Linked DNA regions of Ovis aries. The protein of the gene in region 1 binds, or shares a complex with, the protein of each later gene. Links are inferred from orthologs where the notes say so. Each region holds a gene or a part of one and is shown on either strand. Other genes may lie near its edges.

Evidence for each region. The genes of interacting proteins can lie anywhere in the genome.
Region 2: GTF2F2 (region 1) and POLR2H share a complex: the UniProt entries of both Homo sapiens proteins name them as parts of the TBP-based Pol II pre-initiation complex. The link is inferred for Ovis aries from reciprocal best matches to the Homo sapiens genes GTF2F2 and POLR2H.

Annotation. Positions count from the first base shown.
Region 1 is NC_056063.1:15,657,268-15,661,277, reverse strand, and holds the start of GTF2F2 (general transcription factor IIF subunit 2), read right to left. Parts: upstream 2,806-4,010; 5' UTR 2,673-2,805; coding exon 2,607-2,672; intron 1-2,606. UniProt on the Homo sapiens protein: TFIIF is a general transcription initiation factor that binds to RNA polymerase II and helps to recruit it to the initiation complex in collaboration with TFIIB.
Region 2 is NC_056054.1:203,612,161-203,616,466, reverse strand, and holds the start of POLR2H (DNA-directed RNA polymerases I, II, and III subunit RPABC3), read left to right. Parts: upstream 1-1,497; 5' UTR 1,498-1,631; coding exon 1,632-1,704; intron 1,705-2,663; coding exon 2,664-2,747; intron 2,748-2,827; coding exon 2,828-2,921; intron 2,922-3,463; coding exon 3,464-3,547; intron 3,548-4,306. UniProt on the Homo sapiens protein: DNA-dependent RNA polymerase catalyzes the transcription of DNA into RNA using the four ribonucleoside triphosphates as substrates.

The DNA.
Region 1 (4,010 bases):
TGTAGACTAGAGTTAAAACTGGAGAAGGCAATGGCACCCCACTCCAGTACTCTTGCCTGAAAAATCCCATGGACGGGGGAGCCTGGTGGGCTGCAGTCCATGGGGTCTCAAACAGTCGGACATGACTGAGCGACTTCACTTTCACTTTTCACTTTCATGCATTAGAGAAGGAAATGGCAACCCACTCCAGTGTTCTTGTCTGGAGAATCCCTGGGACGGGGGAGCCTGGTGGGCTGCCGTCTATGGGGTCACGAAGAGTCGGACATGACTGAAGTGACTTAGCAGCAGCAGCAGCAGTGTTAAAACATTCCCACTTCACAACGTGATGATGTCAGTATACGGTCCCAATCCGCTACTCCAGGCATGATGTCCTCTTTGTTTTCCAGCCCACACCACATTACTGTGCATTCTCACTCCTGCATTTCAGAACCACTCTCCATGGTATGCTACGGAGATACTATGGCCCCCCATCCAAACCTCTGTAAGGCAAACATTTATTGAGCATCTACTGCGCTCCAAGCAGAAACACATCACCTCAAGCTCTCGCCACCTTTTCAAGCTCTTTCCATCTGCAAAGGAGATCTCCTCCCTAATGATCTCTCTCCATCTAGCATGCAGGAGGAGAGAGATACTTGGTTACTCCATCATTTTAAATCACACTGATATCACTGTGATAAGTCAAAGCAGCACCAGAGATTAAGGCTAGGGTTGAAGAATAAGAGTTCATTCAGTCATTCATTCATGCATGCATACATCACATTATCTGAGCTATTTACCTTACACCAAACACAGTTCTGGGTGACAGGCAAGACGCCTACTCTCGCGAAATATGACTGTGCATGTGCTTTGAAGAATGTTAATACAGGCTCAACATGCTAGTGAATAATCATAAGGGCAGGAGCAGGGGACTACAGAAGATGAGATGGTTGGATGGCATCACCGACTCAATGAACATGAGTTTGAGTAAGCTCCGGGAATCGGTGATGGACAAAGAAGCCTGGTGTGCTGCAGTTCATGGGGTCGCAGAGTCAGACACAACTGAGCGACCGAACTGAATCATAAGGGAGCTACATCAGAGAGGAAGACTAGAAGGGCCTCTCAGATTTAACTGATAAACACTCAGACGTGTGATAAAAGCTTTCCAAAAATCTAACAAATAAAGGTCTCTATGTTTTACTTGAGTTTTCAAGACTATCATAATCACATTTTGAATATACACATGTCTTATGAAAACTTCCTAAGAAACAACAGTCCCCAATTTGAAAAAGTAAGGGATAAATAGTGTACTCACTAAGTGAAGAAGTGAAGGTTGCTCAGTGTCTGACTCTTTGCGACCCCATGGACTATACAGTCCATGGAATTCTCTAGGCCAGAATACCGGAGTGGGTAGCCTTTCCCTCCTCCAGGGGATCTTCCCAACCCAGGGATCGAACCTAGGTCTCCCACATTGCAAGTGGATTCCTTACCAGCTGAGCCACAAGGGAAGCTCAGTAAGTACTTACTAAGGGTTAATCAAAATGCTGCCTTTACCAAAAAAAAAAAAAATTACTGACAGTTTCACCTGAGACACAATCGAACTCTAAAAGAACACTCCAGTCCACAGTCTCTCCTTCCCTGAGTTCAGAGCACTCTCACCTCTCCTGGGAACTCCATAAGACCCATCAACCTAAAAGAACACCTTACGAGTGAAAGTGAAGTCACTTAGTCCTGTCCAACTCTTTGGGACCCCATGGACTGTAACTTATCAGGCTCCTTCAAAAGGGATTTTCCAGGCAAGGATACTGAAGTGGGCTGCCATTCCCTTCTCCAGGGGATCTTCCCCACCCAGGGATCGAACCTGGGTCTCCTGAATTGCAGGCAGATGCTTTACCATCTGAGCCACCAGGGTACTCAGAGAACAGTTCTACTTTCTGGCTCAGAAAACTACCCAGAAAGCAAACGCTCAACTTTCTTATAGAGATTGATGACTGAAATCAGTTTCAGCAAGTGGAGATGAAGAAATTCTTCAGCCTGGGATAAAATGCTCAAACTGGGGGGCCATCAAGACAGGAGCCCAGAAAAACCAGGTCGTGGGATAAGGAGATCCATTCCAGGCACGTTCAGACTCTTAGTTGGCTAAAACACACTGGGTGTCCCTGAACTAATGTCCTCGTCTGCAAACAAGCCTACCAACCAACCCTGCCTCTCAAGGTAAGCGAAGTTCTAAACGAGAGAGCCCTAATGAGTTTTAAAAGGTGCACAAAGTGGGACGGTCTCAAGTTACGTGTGTGTGTGTGCGTGTGTGTGCGCGCGCGTGTATGTTAGTTGCTCAGTCGTGTCCGACTCTTTATAACCCCATAGACTGCAGCCCACCAGGCCCCTCTGTCCATGGGGTTCTCCAGGCAAGAACACCGCAGTGGGTTGCCACTTCCTTCTCCCAAAGGAACTATAGAAAGAAAGTGAAGTCGCTCAGTCGTATCCGACCCTTTGAGACCCCATGGACTGTAGCCCACCAGGCTCCTCCGTCCATGGAATTTCCCAGGCAAGAGTACTGGAGTGGGTTGCCAGTTCCTTCTCCCCTCAAGTCACTTAAACTACTTTAAAAGCGAGAGCCACGCAAACCTTACCTTGACCAGCCACACTCCGGTGTTCTGTTTGGCGCCAGTCAGGTCGAGTTCTCCGCGCTCGGCCATGGGTCTGTCGCCGGCGGAGACCTGCGGACTTAGAGCAGCGGCCCCGGGAGCGGGTGACTGCGGGACGAGGGAGCGAAGCACACGGCGAACCCTGGCCGGAGGTTGACTGTGAAGAGCCCGCGGTCCAACTTCCGGGATGCCGGGAGCCCTGGGAAAGAAGAACACACACGGCCGGCAGCGGGGAACTGCGCCTGCGCACTGCGGCCGTCAGTACGGCGCGCTACTGAGGACAAACTTCATCGGCGTGCACCTTCTTGAGTGGGCGTGGCTACTTCCAGGGACTGTGTCTGAGTAATTGAAAACGAGGTTGGGATGGGCGCAAACATCAGCAGTACATATAAAGACCAGGTCAGAGTAACAGAAGAAAGTGTCAAAACAGAAAAACGGGGTTTAAAGAGACAAAGGCTGTCAGTGTATGTCCAATCCAGGCCAAGGAGAGAAAGACAGCATTTGGAGGACAGGTAGGAGAAATGAATAAAATGAATTAGCAGAGTGGTCTTTATTGAAAGGCTACCCTGAGCACCTTCAGTTAAACGAGTAGGGCGCACCCCTTTAAGACTCCAAAACCCAGAGCCCTTTGTTTTTTGTTTGCTATTGTTTTTAATTTATTTTTAATTGGAGTATAAGCGCTTTACAATGTTATGTTAGTTTCTGCTCTACGACAACATGAATCAGCTGTAAGTGTACATAAGTCCCCTCCGTCTTGAGCCCCCCTCCAACCCCACCTCTATCCCACCCCTCTAGGTTGTCAGAGAACCCCGACCTGAGCTCCCTGTGCGCTACAGCAACTACCCACGAGCTATTAATCGCTTTTTACACATGGTGGTGTATACATGTCAGTGGTACGCTGGCAGTCTGTCGCGCCCTCTCCTTTCCCGGCTGTGTCCGCAAGTTTGGAGCCGTTTCATGACGTCAATGACAATAGACATGTAACAGAAAACTCTGATTGTTCAACTCCCCTGCTTAAAGAGTCTCCCCTCTCTCTTCTTGCCTCTAGAATAAAATTCAGTCCTCTCCACATAGGCCCTCACAGTTTGACCTCATCAAAGTGTGGTGTACTCAATGCACCACGCATCTAAGCCCATCTAACCCGTCAGACCTCCCGGAACGTATCAGAATGTTCCTCAATTATTCAGAGCCTCTGCACACTGGATTCCCTTTACTCAGATGCCCTATTCTTCCCGTACTGCCTTCTGATTGGCAGACACCTACTTAGGTTTCAAGATTAATGGAAATGTCTCTTCCTATGAGACCTTCTATCAACTCCCCCAGAGGAAGATAATTTTTTCTTCCCGTCACAGTGTGCGTTACTTAGCACGATGAGCTATAATGCACTCG
Region 2 (4,306 bases), on another chromosome or scaffold:
GGGGCTGGACAGGCCGGGGCTCGGTAGGGCCTGGGGCGGGGGCTGCCGAGCCGTCTAAATCAGATTCGGGCCCAATCCCTCAGCGGCGGTCCCCTCTCTTGCTTCACCGGAGGGGCCAACGGCTGACTGGCCAGGAAAGGTCCCTGTGCTCTGCTGGGGGGTGAAAAACAAAGCTAGGGGAGAACTCGGAGGGGGTCGCTAGGCCCAGAAACGGAGGTTGCTTGGAATTAGGACCCTCGGTCTCTCTCATCCCCTTCCTTTCTCCTTCCCTTCTTTGCGGGTCCCCCAGGAGCACCCCCAGGGAGGTGCACTTTGAGCCACCTGGCCTTCGGCTAGTGCGGGGGGTTGGGGTGGAGATGGGGAGGGAACGGGAATGGGTGAGGCCAGAGGGAAGGGAGGTCTAGGTGCCTGGGAGGCGGGCGTGGTGGGGACAGAGGTCGCTTCTCCCTGGCAGGGCCCAAAGAGAAACCGGAGTAGGTGCTGACGTCTAGCAGCCATGGGGGAACACGGCCTGCTGGGGCTTTGTGTTCTGTATGAGGGTCCGGAGGACAGAGCAGAGGGGGTGAGCACTAGTGTATGAGCAGCGTCAGGGAGAGTGTCAGGAGAGGCCAGTGCCCAGGAAACAGGCAGTGTGCAGGAGGAGGCAGCGCCGGGGTGAAGGGGCGCGCGGGAGGTCGCAGGGGGCTCCCGGGTAAGGGAGCAGTGCCCAGGAGGGGGCCGAAGTGAGAGCTGGCACCCTAGAGGAAGGGGCAATGTAAAGAAAGAGGTGGCATCTGTAGGATAGGGTAGTGCCAGGATGAAGAAGCCCGTAGGAGAGCTTGTCTAGAAGGAGAGGACCGTGGTAGCGGAAAGGGAAGAACAGAGCTTAAGGGGCAGGGCTCGAGGAGGGCAGTGGGTTTGGGGTTAATGCCCTGCTGAAGGGGTGGTGTGAGAGAAGAGAGCAGGAAAGGGGACGGTGCAGGCTTTCCTCTTCCCCATGGTGACATCATGGCAAATTCCCAAACTGGAGGGACCCGGCTCAGGTGACATCCAGCTGGGACGAGCCGGCCCGGGCCGGCCTGGGTGCCAGCAGGAAGGGCTGGGTTTTGCGCCCAGTCGGGCCAGCGCCCTGGGGGCGGGGTGCTGCTCCCCTCACTCTCTGTGCGGACTTGCCCTCGGCGGGCACGCAGACCGGCACAGTAAGGCTCGGGCCGGGCTTCTCTGGGCCAAGGATCAAGGTCCCTGGCTGGGGCAGGCCGCTTGAGCATTCCAGTCTTCCAGACCCGGCTTCTGAAGAGGGCGCAGTAGAGCCTCGGGAGAGAGCCGGACGCGACGCCACCTCTGTCGGAGGTGGGACCCATCGTGTCGCCGCCGGGGGCGGGGTTTTCTGGACCCGAAACCAGCCCTCAATTCTGAAACCTCTGGGAAACAATCGTTCGGGGCGGAAGTTAAGAAGCCCCGAGAGCTAGGCAGCGGAAGTGGCTGCGGTACAGTTCTTCTATGCGCATGCGTTATTGTATTCCTTTGCCGCTGCCGTTTCAGCGCTGCGTCGTCTTAGCGCGCCTCTTTTCCTCCACGCGAGGGGGTGCGCTACCCCTAGTCGTCGTGGTCAGCGCGCCCAGTCCCTCTGCTACTCTCGTGGCCCCCTCACCATGGCGGGCATCCTTTTTGAGGATATTTTTGATGTAAAAGACATTGACCCGGAAGGCAAAAAGTTTGACCGAGGTAAGCAAGGTTTGGAGGGGCGGTTTCGGGGGAAGGGGCTAATCTCCTCTGGTACCCGCCCCCAGGCTGCTTGTCCACCCACTTTCGCGTGGCCTTTCCCTACCGGTGGGTCCTGGTGTGGGGACCTCTCTCGAGAAATAATTTTATAGATAAGAAAACGGAGACTCCCGAGCTCTCCCTGGTTTCACACAAGCTGTGCTCGCTGCCTGGGTGGCCTTTTCTGCTGGTGCTGGTGGACTCCAGGCATCTTTTATAATCGCTCCCCGCTCTGGACCGGGCGCTGTACTTAACACTTCGCACGCGCTTTGTCTCACTTATTTTCTTCCAGGAGTAGGCGGTGTCTTACCCATTTTGCTCTGAGAGGCTAAGCAGCCCACCCAAGGTTGTACAGTGAATAATCCGACTTCACAACCCGTTCCTCAGAGTCTTTAGCTGTTTGTAAAATCTTCTCAGAGTTTAAGAGTAGACTGCTTGGTATACACCTCTTTATTCTGTCATTTATCAATAATTGTCCTGGGTGTCTCTTCCTTTGCCTGGACACTGATAAGTTCTTCGGGACAAACACCAGTTCTTACACATCTTGATAATCAATCCCCTTAGCACAGCACCTGACACAGGAAGAGGAAACCTTAGGATGAATGAATACCTTGCCCCAAATCAGGTTATTTCTTAATCACTTAGGTTGGCCTAGAACCTGGATATTATTTATTGCCAGAGGATCTTTGATTCTTTTCTGTGGATTCTGTCCACTGGCCACAGGTTGTCTCCCCTTTCCTTCCTGCATGTGTGATTCTGATTGAGCCTGTACTTCTGTGAGAGCAGATGAGAGGCCAGTGGATACAGACTGCATTAGACTGAGTATTCTGTTGCATCCAGGCCCCTGAAGTACCTGTCTGCCCTGCCCTGTAGGGTCTGCCCTGGGCCACAGGCAGTTAACTTCTGCCACTCTTCCCCTCCAGTGTCTCGGCTGCATTGTGAGAGTGAATCTTTCAAGATGGACCTCATCCTTGATGTAAACATTCAGATTTACCCGGTAGACTTGGGTAAGTATTGAACACAAACAGCAGGAGGCTTTATGCCATCTCAGCTGGTCTCCACCCTCTGCTACCGCTGTTGTTTTCAGGTGACAAGTTCCGGTTGGTCATAGCCAGTACCTTATATGAAGATGGTACTCTGGATGATGGTGAATACAACCCCACAGATGATAGGCCTTCCAGGTGAGGGGATGGAAAAGGGAGCACCTGAAATGTGCCTGAGGACTAAGTGGATAGGTGTATAGAAAAACCCTTACTTAATTCATGAAATAAATGATTATCAGCAGACTCTGTTAGCTTAAGAAAAGTGCAGCACTTAAGAATCCAGACATCCAGGTGTTTATCCAAAGCAGTGATTACAGTGTGAGTTGTCACTTTTTGATAGTGGAGGAAATGAGCACTGAATGACCTAGGCTCTGTGGGCCTTGTGTCTTGGGAGGGAGTTTGGTGTGATGGAAAGGCTTTGGACGCCCACTCAGTTCACATCTCAGCTCTACCACTTATTTGTTGGATAACCTTAACCTCCTTCAACCTTAGTTTTTTCTCATCAATAACATTGATGGTCATACCTAGCTCACAGGGTTGCTGTGAGGATTGAATGACATCACGTTTAGAAAGTGCCTGGTGTTATGATGCTGGCGTATAGTTACCAGTTACCATTTTTTTAAAGGGCCTCTTACTTTTGTTAACTGTATTTAAGAATAACTGCCCCTATTGTTCCACAGGGCTGACCAATTTGAGTATGTCATGTATGGGAAAGTGTACAGGATTGAGGGAGACGAAACTTCTACTGAAGCAGCAACACGCCTGTAAGTTCCTTGGTCTTGTGAGAGCCCTTTCCCTTCTCATTTTGTGAGAATTTGGGCTATGCTTTGAAAATCTGGACCATCCTCAGGCTCCCTGGATTTCTTTCTTCAAGCACCTCAGACCTAGCGGGACCCAGAAAGGAACTGTTTTGGGAACAGTTTCAGTCTGAAATGTAGGCTGGTCAGTTTGCCCTCTGTCAGGATCTTAAGGCCTGTGATCTAAATGAGAAACTGTTAATCTTGCTGAGTGAAATGCCAAGGAAAGTTACTTCTCCAAGAACTAAATGCAGCATAAGTGATTAAACTGCTAGGCTTTTTTGTTTGTGTGTGTGTGTGTGTTTTGCTACTCTGCAATCCAATCCCTAGTTCTTTGGTTTCTCTGCCCAACTATTTTTTCCTTTTCTTTAAAACCTTATTAAAACAATATGTGCCCTTTGCAAGAAATTTGAAAAGCAGAAAAGTAATATGAAGAAGGAAAAAAGTCACCTATAATTCTATAACCAGAGGGAATCTTCTACATAAACATTCTTGAATGTTCTAGGTTTTTTTTTTCCTATGTACTTTTTTCTTTGAGATCATGTTGTTTATTACAATGTTTTGTTCTGTTCCATTTGCTTAATGTTATGTAAAACATGTTTCCTCATGTCAATTTAAAGCTTTTCCTAAACATTTTTTTTAAATTCCTAAACATTTTTATAGCTGTGTAACATTCCAATAAATGGATGTATCTTAATTGATTTGACCATTTCCCTTAGTTTGGTC